Linked DNA regions of Cricetulus griseus. Each later gene encodes a partner of the first gene's protein in a complex. Links are inferred from orthologs where the notes say so. Each region holds a gene or a part of one and is shown on either strand. Other genes may lie near its edges.

Region 1 (4,226 bases):
GGATTGTTATGCTTGTGTGTGTTACTTTGACATAAGTGTGAAGTAAAACTTATATACTCAAAACCAACTCGCTGAGTCTGTCATTCCTCCCAGGTCAAAACCTGGTAAGGGCTCGAGACAGAGTTCCAGAACCATTAGGGCTACACAGAGAAACCTTGTCTCAAAAATAAATAATAATGGTGTACACCTTTCATCCCAATCCTCAGGGAGTAGCGAAGGTGGATCTATTTCAGTTTAAGGCCATCAAAATCTACATAGTGAGTTTCAGGACAGGCAGGGCTAATTAATGAGACTTTGACTCAAAAAAACAAAAACAAAAACAAAAACAAACAAAAAACCCACACAAAGAAAAAAACACCACTAGTAGTTAATAAGTTCTTTATATTCATAAGCACTCCTGATGTTGATTTTCTTCTAAAGACGTATGGACTAGGCCGGGCGGTGGTGGCGCACGAATTTAATCCCAGCATTCAGGAGGCAGAGGCAGGTGGATCTCTGTGAGTTCGAGACCAGCCTGGTCTACAAGAGCTAGTTTCAGGACAGCCTCCAAAGCCACAGAGAAACTCTGTCTTGAAAAACCAAACAAACAAAAAAAAAAGCATGGGGCAGTTTGACTCCCTCATTAGTAGCTGGACTCTCCCTTGTTGCCCTGGCTGCCTGGAGCAAAAGGACAGTCAGTCTCACAGCCACCTGGGCCTCCTTTAGGCCAGCTAGCTCAGCTGGTACTTTCTATAATGCCTTCAGAAAATGATATAAGCACTTTGGCTGATTGCCATGGCTCCTGAAAGCATAGCCTCAGGCAAGACTGTTTGAAACAGTGTGTATCACTGTTTCAATCTGATGCCTGGATAAATGAATTTATATCACTACTTTTGTTTTACTTTTGAGGCAGTACCCTACTATGTTGCCCTAGGAGGGTCTCACTGTGTCGTCCTGGCAGGCCTTGAACTCACTATGTAAGACCAGGCTAACCTAAAACTCACACAGATCTACCTGCCTCTGCCTCCCCAGTGCAGGGATCAAAGGCGTGCGGCTTATAGCTTGAGCAACAATATTCAGGAAGGGAAAACGAAAACTTGAAAAAACCTTTAGCGGCACCAGGATTCAGCTAACCAGTAGCATCAGGTCACACCTGCCCAGGAGCTCAGGAGCCACACTACAGATTAATTCCTTTCGCCCCGCCCCTCTTCCCTTCCGACAAGACCCGCCTCTATCCCTATGGGCTCCGCCTCTCTATCCAAAGGCCCCGCCCCTTTCCCCTCTGAAACCCGACCTCTAAACTCCGCTACCGCGGGCGAAATCCAAACCCCGTGCCTAGATTGCCTTGTGACTCCGCCCCTACAGCCAAGACCCCGCCCCTCGCAGACATATTTACAGATTGGACGGTACAGAATACCTCGTTTCCCAATTGGTCACAGGGAAGGGCAGCTTCATGACCCGGAAGTGATCTCGGAGGCGGCGGCCGCGTGGTTCGTGTATTCACCTACTGGATTGCCGCAGTCTCTAAGATGACCAAAATAAAGTCCGTTCCGGAGGAGTCTGAGGCGCAGGCGGAGGGCTGCAGCGAGGAGCGCACGTACGAGGAGCTGCTGGTCAACCTGAACCCCATCGCGCAGCCGCTGGCGTCCCGCCGCCTGACGCGCAAGCTCTACAAGTGCATCAAGAAGGGTGAGGCGGCAGGGCGCGTGGCGAACGCGGGGCGGAGCGGGCGGCGGGCAGGCGGGCACGGGCTGGACGAAGTCGCGGCTCACCCTTCTCTTTGCAGCCGTGAAGCAGAAGCAGATTCGGCGTGGGGTGAAGGAGGTTCAGAAATTTGTCAACAAAGGCGAGAAAGGGTAAGAACCAATCCTCACATTGGTTTTTAAGTTTTATGTGTGTGGTTTTTTTTTTTTTTTTTTTTGCAGCTCTGGGGATTGAACCTAGGGCCTGTGCATGCTAGACAATTAACTCTGCCACTTGAGTTTGCGTTTTCAGTTGGTTAAGACTGAATTACACCTACTTAAGTGCTCAGTAAAGGTGAAGTTTACTCTGGCCTGAACTGCCTTCACTACAGACACCCACATCACTTACAGGAGCTCCCAATGAACTACAGGGAAGAGAACCCAGACCACGTATCCCGCCCTGTTCGTTCGTTCTGTGGATTGGCAGTTCTTTTCTGGAAAGCTTCAGGCAACATGCTGTAGGGAGACATCTTCCCAAGTAGGCCAGAGGAGAATGAGGGCTACTTTCCACTGCATAGCAAGTTTAAAGCAAGCATGACTATGAAAACGTTACAAAAAACCAAAAGGATAGAATGATAGCCGGGAGTGGTGGTGCAGGCGTTTGTTTAATCCATCACTTGGGAAGCAGAGGCAGGCAGATCTCTTGAGTTCCAGGACAGCCAGAACTGTGTATAGATACACTATCTCAAACTAACAACAAAGGAGAGAATGGATGAATGTTGGTTTGGGGGTTTGGGATCCTGAGAAGTATCTCATGAAGGCCTTTCAATTTTTTTTTCTTTTTGACTTATTTTGTGTGTGAATGTTTTGCCTAAACATATATGTGTGTCACTGGTGTCCTTGGAGATCAGAAGAAAGCAAAGTGTCAGATCCCCTTAGACTGGAGTTACAGATGATTATGTACCACCATGTGGGTGCTGGGAATTGAATGTGGGCCCTCTGGAAGACCAGCTGAGGCACCTCTCTAGTCCTTGTGGGGCTTGTTTGGTTTTTGTTCTCAAAGCAAAGTGAACACTGAGAAGTGCTATTGAGGAAGAATCAGGAGAGGCAAGTCAGACTTAGGAAGCTGTTGCTGTAGCCCAAGTGAGGGGTCGGGACTAGAGTGAAGGTTGGAGGATTAGAGAGGACAGTGACAGGTCTGTGCCTCCCGTGCGCCCGTTTGGGGTGTAGTCTGTGACTGCAGACAGTGAAGGAAAACCATGTTTGTCTGAAAACACTTTAGGTGTGGTTTTAGACAACTTTTCAGTATTTCAAAGGGTACCTTTATTACATGTGTATGTGCCTGCATACATATGTTGCATACATGTGCACTCTGGTGCTTATGTGGGTGTCAGAGGACAACTTGGGAGAGTTGATTTTCTCCACCATTTCCGTTCCGGGGACTGACCGAACTCAGGTACCTGGGGTTGGCAGTGAGTGCTTATATCCACTGAGGCATCCTGAGTTGACATGGAAAATGTCCTGGACATGCTATGCTTCCCTGTCCTCTTAACAGATGGTTGTGTTTGGTGGGGCAAACGAGGCCTGGTATTTCCAGGTGGCACCTGGCACCATGATTATGGGTCAGGGTAGCCAAGGAGAAGGGAGCACAAGGGAGGGCAGGCAAGCAACAGGCAGTGAGGACCAGTGCTAGGCCAAAGGGAATGAACTATGGAATCAGGGTTTTGAACCAAGGATTCTTGATCTGTCACTCACCCTTAAAGAATATTCTTCCTCTGGGCGGATCATTAGGACTATGGGTCTGTACAGAACACTGACAACTCACAACTTTAGTTGACATTTTTACTCTGGCAAACTTTCTCTTGGAGCCAGGCGTTGGTGGTGCACACCTTTAATCCCAACACTCGGGAAGCAGAGGCAGGCGGATCTATGTGAGTTCGAGACCAGCCTGGACAGCCTCTAAAGCCACAGAGAAACCCGGTCTCGAAACGGCCCCCCCCCCCAAAAAAAAAAAAAAAACCTTTCTCTTGGGACAGACCCTGTCTGTTTTCAGACCCCTGCCAATTTCTATGGCTTTGTTTTTTGGTCCTCTCCTGTATGTATTGCAAAAGGCGACCCTTGTTCTTGGCAACCAGCCTTTCAGTACCACTCTGTTCCCTTGGCCTTATTCTGTCCCTGCCCCTGCCATTCTAGGAGCCTATTTGTGGCACTCAAGTCTCTGTTGGAGTCATCTCCTAGCCGGGCAGTGGTGGTGCACACCTTTAACCCCAGCACTTGGGAGGCAGAGGCAGGCAGATCCCAGTGAGTTCGAGGTCAGCCTGGTCTACAGAGCGAGTTCCAGGACAGCCAGGACTATCGTACACAGAAACACTGCCTCGAAGAACCAAAAAAAGAGTCATCTCCTAGAATGTCACTGACACTTAAGAGCTGAGTTTCTATTTCTTGGCATTCCTCCCATACCTCATCTGTCCCAGCATTGTACCGCTTGTCACATTTGGTGGTATTTATGTGCTGTCAAATAGAGATCATGTCCCCCAGAAGAAATACATTTGCCAAACACGACTT
Region 2 (3,500 bases), on another chromosome or scaffold:
TTACTATAAAAGATTTTTCAATAGGTAAAGGTTAGGACTACAGAGTTTCAGAGGTATGTTATTTACCCTGTAGGGATTTCAATCAAATGCTCCTTCTGTTGAAGAACATTACCATTTGAGACACTATAATCCAGACTTCACTGAGCTGATCATCAGCTCTTATTGTATATTTACCTTGTAATCAGAAATGGTCCCAATGATTTCAGTGAATATTATGTAGTCATGATTTTTTGAAAGACAAATTTCTGTATGTGTAACAGTTTGTGGTGAGATACTTATAAATATTTAATCTTAAAATGTGTAAGTCTTCTGAAAACTTATGTTTTTGTTCATAATAAAGGGAAAAATTGAAGAGATACACTAAGGTGTTACACTAACAGGAAGCTTAACCACATAATTGTATAAATGTGATGTGCCTTTCTTATGCTGGGGTCAGACTGTTGGCTTCTGAGTGAATTTAAAGAGAACTTAAGAATATGGTCAGCAAGATGGACATACATATGCATTTGGGGTTGCAGAACTGGAGAAGTGGCCTTAATTCGCACTTACAGGCTAATTCCATATAGAAATGTAGATGTGATTTAGCAGGTCTGGTGGTTTTGTTAGCATGTTACTTTGGGTATCTGTTATGTCTGTTATTGCTTCATTTCTAGTAAATGTGCTATTTTTTCCTGACAAAAATCCAAGAGCAGTTCTATGGAACACTGATAGAAAACACTGAGGCAGGTTTTGATTTTTTGTTTTTGCTTGTTAGTTTTATGGTAAAACCATTTTTTTTCTGAGACAGGGTTTCTTTGTGTAGCCCTGGCTGGCCAGAACCAGCTCTTTAGACCAGGCTGGCCTCGAACTCAGAGATCTACCTGCCTCCCGTGTGCTGGGATTAAAGGTGTGTGCCACCAAAGCCCGGCCCAAAACTATTTTTCTATTTAATTTTTTTTTTCATTTTACATACTAGCCCTAGTTCCCCCTCCCTCCACCTTATCCCCCATCCACTCTCTGATGGAGTAAGGCCTCCCTTGGGGAGTCCACAAAGTCTGGCATACCAAGTTGATGCAGGACCAAGCCCATTCCCCCTGTATCAAGGCTGAGCAAGGTATCCCACCATAGGGAATGGACTCCAAAGAGCCAGTTCATACCCCTAGGATAGGTCCTGGTGCCACTGCCAGTGCCCCTCCCCCAACAGATAAATCACACTAATGTCACTCACATTCAGAGTGTCTAGTTTGGTCCCATGCAGGTTCCCTAGTTGCCAGTCCACAGTCCATGAGCTCCCACTAGCTCAGGTCTGTTGTCTCTGTGGTTTTCCCTTTTCCCCATCATGGTATTAACTCCCCCCTTCATGTGATCCCTCCTCCCTCTCTTCATCTAAGTTCCAGGAGCTTAGCACAGTGCTTGGCTGTGGGTCACTGCATCTGCTTGCATCAGTTACTGGATGTAGGTTCTATGATTATACTTGGGGTATCCACCAATCTGATTATAGGGGAAGGCCAGTTCAGGCATCCTTTCCACTATTGCTTGGAGTCTTAGCTGGGAATTTCTCTAGCACCAAGCTTCTCCCTAACCCCATAATGACTTCCTCTATCAAGATATCTCTTTTCATTGCTTCCCCTTTCCATCTCTTCCCCCAACTCGGCCCTTGTGTTCCCATCCCCCATCCCCTATTCCCCATCCCCTCTCTTCTACCCTCCTTCCCAGTTTACCCAGTAGATCTTAGCTGTTTCCCTTTCCTGGGCCCTCCTTTCTTAGGGTCCTCCTTTTTACCTAGCTTCTCTGGAGTTGTTGTATGTATATGTATGCATATACACAGAGGTTGGTTGAGGACAACATATGGGAGTTGTTCTCTCCTTCCACCATATGGATTACAAGGATCAAACTTGGGTAATCAGGCCAGTGCAAGTACCTTTTCCTGCTGAGCCATTTCTCTGGTCCCTAAGACAGGATTCATATTGTTTTATGTGTATGAATATTTTGTTTGCATGCATGCACACCTGGGGCCTACAAAGGTCAGAAAATGGTGTTGGGTCCCCTTGGACTGGATTTACATTTTTTTTACAGGCACTGTATCTCTAGTTTTTTGCTCTAGATGACAATGTTCATGGGCCACATAATAAGAGTCCAGTGCCCTACTTGTATAGACCAGTGAAGGAGGAGGGGAGGGATTCTTTTTTTTTCCTCCATTTTTTATTTGAGTAAGAAACAGGATTGTTTTACATGTCAATCCCAGTTCCCTCTTCCTCACCTTCCCCCTACTAACACCCTACCTCTCCCATACCCTTTCTGCTCCCCAGGGAGGGTGAGGCCTTCCATAGGATGTCATCAGAGTCTATCATATCCTTTGGGATAGGGCCTAGACCCACCCCTGTGTGTCTAGGCTCAGGGAGTATCCTCTATGTGGAATGGGCTCCCAAAGTCCATTGAGGGGAAGCATTCTTAATTTTTATTATGTGTTGTGATGTATGTGTGTGTGAGAGCACATACATAATGCAATGTGTATTTAGAGCTAAGAGCTTAATTTGGTGGGGTCAGTTTCCTCCTTTCATCTATGTTTTGGGATTGAATTTGGGTCATCAGACTTGCTGAGTCATCTTTAAGGTTTTCTTTAGTATTGTGTAGCATATGTAAAAATTTTAGAACAGTGCTAGCATGTGATAGGTATTTGTTATTTAATGTTCTGTGTTCCTTCATACTTCATTATAGTCATTGGACTATTAGTGTTATCACTCCTATTTCCACTGTCAGGCTACCTTCCCCCTTATAGTCTTTCTCTGTTCTGGTATGGAAGTAGAACAGGGATAATGGATAACATCACGCCCTCATATTTGATACTGTCTCCATAGGTGAATGCAATCTGCTATGGGGCCAAGATCATGCTTCCTGGTGTTCTCCGATATGAGGATGGCATTGAGGTCAACCAGGAAATTGTGGTCATTACCACCAAAGGAGAAGCCATCTGCATGGGTAAGGAGGGGAGTAGTCCTCATTATTTCTGGAGTTGGGGCTCTGCACCATCAAAGCTAGGTTCATTATGGGCCAGTTCAATATCATGGTCCCTCAATTCTATCTAATTAGAGTGTCTCCTTGGGCTTGTATGAACAATTTATGAATGGGCAGATAATTAGGTACAGATTAAGGAGAAAGAAATATTGTACATTTATATGCTCTTGGCTCTTTAGTGAAACTCCCAGTGTAAGAGTATAGGGATGGTTGTCTGTGATGATTAAAGGAGAGATTTTAATTTACTCCTTGTTTGCTTTCAGATAACTTGTAATTAGTGTCAGTGACTTCTATTGTTTTTTCAGGACTGGGTTTCTCTGTTTTAGCCTTGGCTATCCTGGAACTCCCTCTGTAGACTAGGTTGGCTTTGGACTCAGATTCAACTACCTCTGCTTTCTGAGTGCTGGGACTAAAGGCATGTGCCAACACCACCTGGCACATGCTTTTAATTTGTAAAGGTTTAGCTACTCTTTGATTGCACTCAGTTATAGTGCTCTGTGCCCTTT
Region 3 (2,312 bases), about 17 Mb from region 1:
AGGACGAATTGACAGCGGCTCACTCTCTCTGCTTCTCCCCGGATGGTTCCCAACTCTTCTGTGGCTTCAACCGGACTGTGCGTGTCTTTTCCACATCCAGGCCTGGTAGAGACTGCGAGGTGCGAGCCACATTTGGTAAGCCTCCGAGGGGGAGGAGATGAAAGAACAGCACCTGCAAAGGGGCCTTGTGTGAGCTGGGCCACCTGTGGGTTTCTCATCATCCTTAGTACAAGCCTGGGTGGCACTTGCCAGCTGCAGAAGAGACACCGACTCAGCTTGGAGGAAGCCCCCAAGGTCAACCAGTTGACTAGAAAGCCAGGTTAACTCCTAACCCATCCATGCCTGTCAAATGTGTACTTTGTGGTCTCTCAAAACCTTGTTAATAGCTAGAAATTGTTTTTATTTTACTCTTTCTTACAGTGCCTGGGATTGAACCCAAGGTCTTGTTAGGCAAGCACTGTGCCACTGAACTTTATGAAATTGAAGGGAAAGGGAGTCCGTTTCCTGTAGGCCTGTAGCTCTCCATCCCTTCCAGGAAAAACTGGGGTATGAGCGGGGAGAGGGAGACTTTAGGAGAGTGAAATGACTTGGGAAGTATCAGAACTTCAGATTGCTTGTGACAAATGGTGGGGAATGAGTCCCTGCATGTCAGTACTAGGACAGGGTACAGAGGGCTGAGGCTAGTTACTGTCCTGTGCTAATTGTTCTCCTGTTTCATCTCCAGCAAAGAAGCAGGGCCAGAGCGGCATCATCTCCTGTATAGCCTTTAGTCCATCCCAGCCCCTTTACGCCTGTGGCTCCTATGGCCGTACACTAGGCCTGTATGCCTGGGATGATGGTTCTCCTCTCGCCTTGCTGGGAGGCCATCAAGGGGGTATCACCCACCTTTGCTTTCACCCCGATGGCAACCTCTTCTTCTCAGGAGCCCGAAAGGTACTGGTCAGAGCCCAGAGTATGTGGGCGGCAGGATTGGGGATGTCGTCTGTAATGGGATGAAACCAAGTTTGGAGGACTTGGGGGTGCTGAGGTGGAGACAGAGAATTGGGGGGGGGGGCGCACTTCAGACTCCTGTACTTGTCTTCAGGATGCCGAACTTCTGTGCTGGGATCTCCGGCAGCCTGGCCACCTCCTGTGGTCTTTGAGTCGGGAAGTGACCACCAATCAGCGCATCTACTTTGATCTGGACCCGTAAGTGGCCGTCCCCCCCTCTTCCCTTTCCAGGTTCATCCTCAGCCCCTGGATAGGAATGGCTTCTACCCCCAGAGTGATGCCTATCTGCCCACAAGTTTCCCTTCTTTTCCAGGAGTGGGCAGTTCTTAGTGAGTGGCAACACCAATGGAATGGTCTCTGTGTGGGACATCAATGGAGCTGTCAGTGACAGCAAGCTGGGACCTGTGATGACTTTTCTGCCCCAGAAGGACTGCACCAATGGAGTGAGGTCCTCACTTCACTGAAGGGGCTTGGGGGAGGGGGGGGTTGGGGAGGAAGGTGGATCTTCCAGGTGACATCCTGACCTAGGTGCTGACAGCCTGTTCTCTCCTCCAGCCTTCACCCTAGCTTGCCTCTACTGGCTACTGCTTCCGGCCAGCGCATGTTTCCAGAGCCCACCAACAGTGGAGATGAAGGCGAGCCGGAGGGGGATCTTCCCCTGCTCTCCCTATGCCACGCCCATCCTGAATGGCGGCTTCAGCTCTGGTGGTGTGGAGGGGGACCAGACCCCAGCAGCCCTAATGACCACCAAGATGAGAAGGGACAAGGAAGGACAGAGGGCTGTGGGGATGAGTTAATATAAAGATTTTGTATAATACTGGAGTCATTGTGTCTGTTTGGGGTGGCACGTGACTGGTAGGAGCTTGGTGGGGGTATTAGTAGATTCCTTTGTCCAGCATCTGTGGGGTCTGGCATATTGTTCCCAAAACCAGGGGTTGAGAGGTGGGACCAGGCAGGAGCCAATGAGGTACTGAGCATGGTGTGAAGTCAAGCAGGTGGGGGTGGGGCCTCATGCCATTGACTAGATGGTTGCTAGGCAACTTGGTAAACTGAGGAGCAAACCTGTTTGAAATCTCACTCCTGTGGTGGCTGCATTAGGGGTCAGGGTGAGTTGGCCTAAACAGGGGTGTCAGGAGCTCAGTGGCAGACTGTTGAGTGTGACTGTGTGAGACTAAGCAGACAGTGACAGACAAGTCAGCGCTGATGGCTGCACACACACCGCACTGTTTACCTTCATCCAACTGCAGAGGGGAAGGGTGCAAGAACACTGTGCTCCCCTGCACCCCAGTAGGCAGAGTCAAGGACACACGGGAGGAGTAATC
Region 4 (3,500 bases), on another chromosome or scaffold:
AATGGGGATGTAGCCCCCCACCACCCCAGGTTGTAGTAAGAGTTGGGAATGGGAGAGATAAGGGTGGTACTGAGTTTGGAGTCTTTTTGGGTCTTGGCAACTGACAGTAGTAGATATTACTGTTTGTTTACGTGGTCTTTGAGCATGTTTACAAAATGGTGTATGTCTGTGTACATATTTATACATGGGGGGTTGTCAAATGTGAGTGTGAAGCCCACCATGGCTGCTGCTTCTGACCTTAACCACCACTGCCATCCCCAGGTGCTATGTCCAGTGCCAGGGCATCCCCCAGGGCTCCAGCCTGTCCACCCTGCTCTGCAGTCTGTGTTTCGGAGACATGGAGAACAAGCTGTTTGCTGAGGTGCAGAAGGATGGGTAAATTGCTTGTTTTTACTGCTCCAAGGGCCTGGGTCATGAGTTGCCATATCTTCACACTTGGAGTTCCCAGCTCACTGAGTGGGTGTGACAGTTGCTTTATGTCCGAGATGTAAAGGTCATCCATTGCCTTCACTTCGTGCAAAGCTGCAAAGTGCACCAGAGCTATGTCTGTTAGGAAGACAGTAAAGCTGTCGTTTATCTTCTTTTGAAATACCACTTTGTTTTGTCTTTGTGCATTGTGACACCTAAAATGTTTCAGGTTGGATCCCCTACAGGTGGATTCTGTGTGAAACCTGTCAACATGTCTCATTTTAGGCTGCTTTTGCGTTTTGTTGATGACTTTCTGTTGGTGACACCTCACCTGGTCCAGGCGGAAGCCTTCCTCAGGTAAGGACTGCTATGCCTGGGTTTCTGCCGTATGATCATGATGTATGTGCAGCTGAGGCAGCACATTTAATCGGTTTATAATTTTGTGTTCCTGGAGCTCGTGTTGTCACCAAGACCTAGTGGCACCTCTACCAAGTGGCAGGGTCACCTCACCTGTGCAGCCAGACATGGGTACCTCCAGCACCAAGGAAGAGAGTATGGCACCCATGGCTGGTCCGACATGGTCTCTCCGAGGATGCAGTGCGGTCAGAGACCGGGTCATTTCCAGTATTTGGAAAGTCTTCAGATGAGACAACAGGCAGTAACTCCTATGCCTCCCAGCCAAGCCCACAGAAGGGCTGTTTGCAGAGGCCTAAGGCACTTAGCCCTTCTAGAAGATGTGAGCATAGCTGTCTTAATTAGAGTTTTTTGGGGGGGCGGGAGTTTGGGTTTTTCGAAACAGGGTTTCTCTGTGGCTTTGGAGGCTGTCCTGAACTAGCTCTTGTAGACCAGGCTGGTCTCAAAATCACAGAGATCCTCCTGCCTCTGTTAATTAGACTTTCTATTGCTCTGAAGAGACACTGTGACAACAGCAACCCTTACAAAGGAAAGCACTTAATTGAGGCTAGCTTACAGTTTCAGAGGGTTAGTCCATTGTCATCACTGTGAAAAGCATGGCACTGTGCAGGCAGACATGGTGCTGGAGAGGTAGCAGAGAGTTCTACATCTTGATCTGCCAGCAACAGGAAGGACTGTGTGCCACACTAGGTGTAGCTTGCGAATATGAAACCCCAAATTCTGGCTCTAGTGACATGCTTCCTCCAACAAGGCCACACCTCGTAATAGTGCTACTCCCTATGGGCCAAGCATTCAAACACATAAGTCTATGGGGCCATACCTATTCAAACCATTCCTGATAACTTTGAGACTTCACACCACACCATGAAGAACAGGCACTGGGTGAACAGGCCCATGGCTCTGTAGAGTAACTTTTCTTTATGGATTGTTAGGAAGAGACCAGAGAATTTGTACTTACTAAACATTGGTGTTTTGAGACATGGCTGTTGTATTAGGAGTGGTCATTTTTCTTACATTAATATTCATACTAGTGAGTTATAGTATGTATCCCAGGCTGTTTGTAGTATATAGAGGTGAGGTCAGGGTTATTGCATATCTGGGTGTAAAGTTAATTTTTGTGGTTCAAGCTAGAATTGAGCACTGCAGCCCTGCTTCAGAGCAGGACCATCAAGTGAGGTTCCTTGGGCACCACAGAGTTTGAGGGTTCCTTCAGATCATGTATTATAGAGGAAGCCCCCTCAGGCGCTGTGAAGTTTGTAGACCTCCTTTTAGGGTAATTGACAAGAGGAAAAACCTGAATGTGATTAATTAAGCCGAGCCCTCAGAAGTTGTCACCACTGAGGTATTGGTGTTTCTGGAAACACTAAATGCTGTCCAGTTTCAAATTTGCCCAACAGGGCTCTTTTGGGCATAGTGTCCTCGAGCCCAGTAGGTTGTGCATGTCAAGGTAGGTAGAATGAGGTGAGAACAGCCCCAGTGTGTCCCTGTCACATCTGTATCAATCAGAAGCTACATGGCCCATACATAGACAGTGGCCACTGGGGACAGAGGACAGACACTGCTGCTGTTGAGGAAAGTTCCAGAAGTCAGTTTTGTCCCTAAGACCTTGTCAGGGAAGTGGCTCTGGATCAATGTCAGATCACCAGGTGATGGGGCCACTAGGTGGGGGCTGTCCATGGACACCTGTAGGAAATATTTACTACAAGGAGCTGGCCAGGGCAGCTGCAAGGACTGACTAGTCACAGGCAGGTGGATGGCATCAGGTGTTCCCACCCATGGGACAGGAGCTAGACTACTGCCAGACTGCCAGTGTGAGTTCACTCTGAGGAAGGGTACACATTTACTTTCAACTCACTGGGGAGGTCTTCAACTCACAGGCAAGCAGTCAGTTTAGCATTTGCTGGGAGGGGAAGCAATCCACATCTACAGGCATCTCAACGTATAAGAAAACAGACTTTTTGGGTGAGGGGGAGAGGGTCCCTTGCTACATGGATGTTAAGGTATAACCATCAGATGGTTATGTGAACCTTCCTACTTGTTTGACTCCTGGCCATCTTGTTCTGAGCTGGCCCTATTGCTTACACAGAAGAGCAGCCCCAGGCTACAGTCTGGACCAAGACTGCCTGGTATTCCATCAGGGTTACCCACAAGGACCCACTCTCTCTGATCCCAGAACATCTCTGGGTATCTTTGTGACATGTGCTGAGTGTGCTTCCAGGGTTCCATAACCAATGTTTCCTCTCTTACTCAGGGCCCTCGTCCATGGCATTCCTGAGTACGGCTGCATGATAAACTTGCAGAAGACAGTGGTAAACTTCCCTGTGGACCCTGGTGCCCTGGATGGTACAGCTCCACACCAGTTGCCTGCTCACTGCCTGTTTCCCTGGTGTGGCTTACTGCTGGACACTCAGACTCTGGAGGTGTTTTGTGACTACACTGGGTAAGTACATCTGGCTGAGTTGAGGACCCATGAGCTCCTGGGGGCAGAAGATGCAATGGGATGCTCCATTCTTTTTCCTGTTGAGGAACCATGAGCTCCGGGGGGCAACTCACCCCGGAGGTCTTTGACTCATAGGCAAGTAATCGGTTTAGCATTTGCTGGTAGGGGAACCAATCCACATCCATGGTTCCCCTATTGAGGAACCATGAGCTCCTGCTGTGTGGTGTTCCATCCTGTT

What was found. Proteins that work in one complex are often made in the same cells at the same time.
Region 2: Nhp2 (region 1) and Dkc1 share a complex: the UniProt entries of both Homo sapiens proteins name them as parts of the H/ACA small nucleolar ribonucleoprotein (H/ACA snoRNP) complex. The link is inferred for Cricetulus griseus from reciprocal best matches to the Homo sapiens genes NHP2 and DKC1.
Region 3: Nhp2 (region 1) and Wrap53 share a complex: the UniProt entries of both Homo sapiens proteins name them as parts of the telomerase holoenzyme complex. The link is inferred for Cricetulus griseus from reciprocal best matches to the Homo sapiens genes NHP2 and WRAP53.
Region 4: Nhp2 (region 1) and Tert share a complex: the UniProt entries of both Homo sapiens proteins name them as parts of the telomerase holoenzyme complex. The link is inferred for Cricetulus griseus from reciprocal best matches to the Homo sapiens genes NHP2 and TERT.

What each region holds. Positions count from the first base shown.
Region 1 is NC_048600.1:65,901,354-65,905,579, forward strand, and holds the start of Nhp2 (H/ACA ribonucleoprotein complex subunit 2), read left to right. Parts: upstream 1-1,426; 5' UTR 1,427-1,508; coding exon 1,509-1,668; intron 1,669-1,765; coding exon 1,766-1,835; intron 1,836-4,226. UniProt on the Homo sapiens protein: Required for ribosome biogenesis and telomere maintenance. Part of the H/ACA small nucleolar ribonucleoprotein (H/ACA snoRNP) complex, which catalyzes pseudouridylation of rRNA.
Region 2 is NC_048604.1:743,458-746,957, reverse strand, and holds part of Dkc1 (H/ACA ribonucleoprotein complex subunit DKC1), read left to right. Parts: intron 1-2,837; coding exon 2,838-2,958; intron 2,959-3,500.
Region 3 is NC_048600.1:83,400,026-83,402,337, reverse strand, and holds the end of Wrap53 (telomerase Cajal body protein 1), read left to right. Parts: intron 1-2; coding exon 3-135; intron 136-724; coding exon 725-933; intron 934-1,084; coding exon 1,085-1,188; intron 1,189-1,303; coding exon 1,304-1,438; intron 1,439-1,545; coding exon 1,546-1,792; 3' UTR 1,793-1,812; downstream 1,813-2,312. UniProt on the Homo sapiens protein: RNA chaperone that plays a key role in telomere maintenance and RNA localization to Cajal bodies. Specifically recognizes and binds the Cajal body box (CAB box) present in both small Cajal body RNAs (scaRNAs) and telomerase RNA template component (TERC).
Region 4 is NC_048595.1:368,314,578-368,318,077, forward strand, and holds part of Tert (telomerase reverse transcriptase), read left to right. Parts: intron 1-261; coding exon 262-375; intron 376-693; coding exon 694-765; intron 766-3,073; coding exon 3,074-3,262; intron 3,263-3,500. UniProt on the Homo sapiens protein: Telomerase is a ribonucleoprotein enzyme essential for the replication of chromosome termini in most eukaryotes. Active in progenitor and cancer cells. Inactive, or very low activity, in normal somatic cells.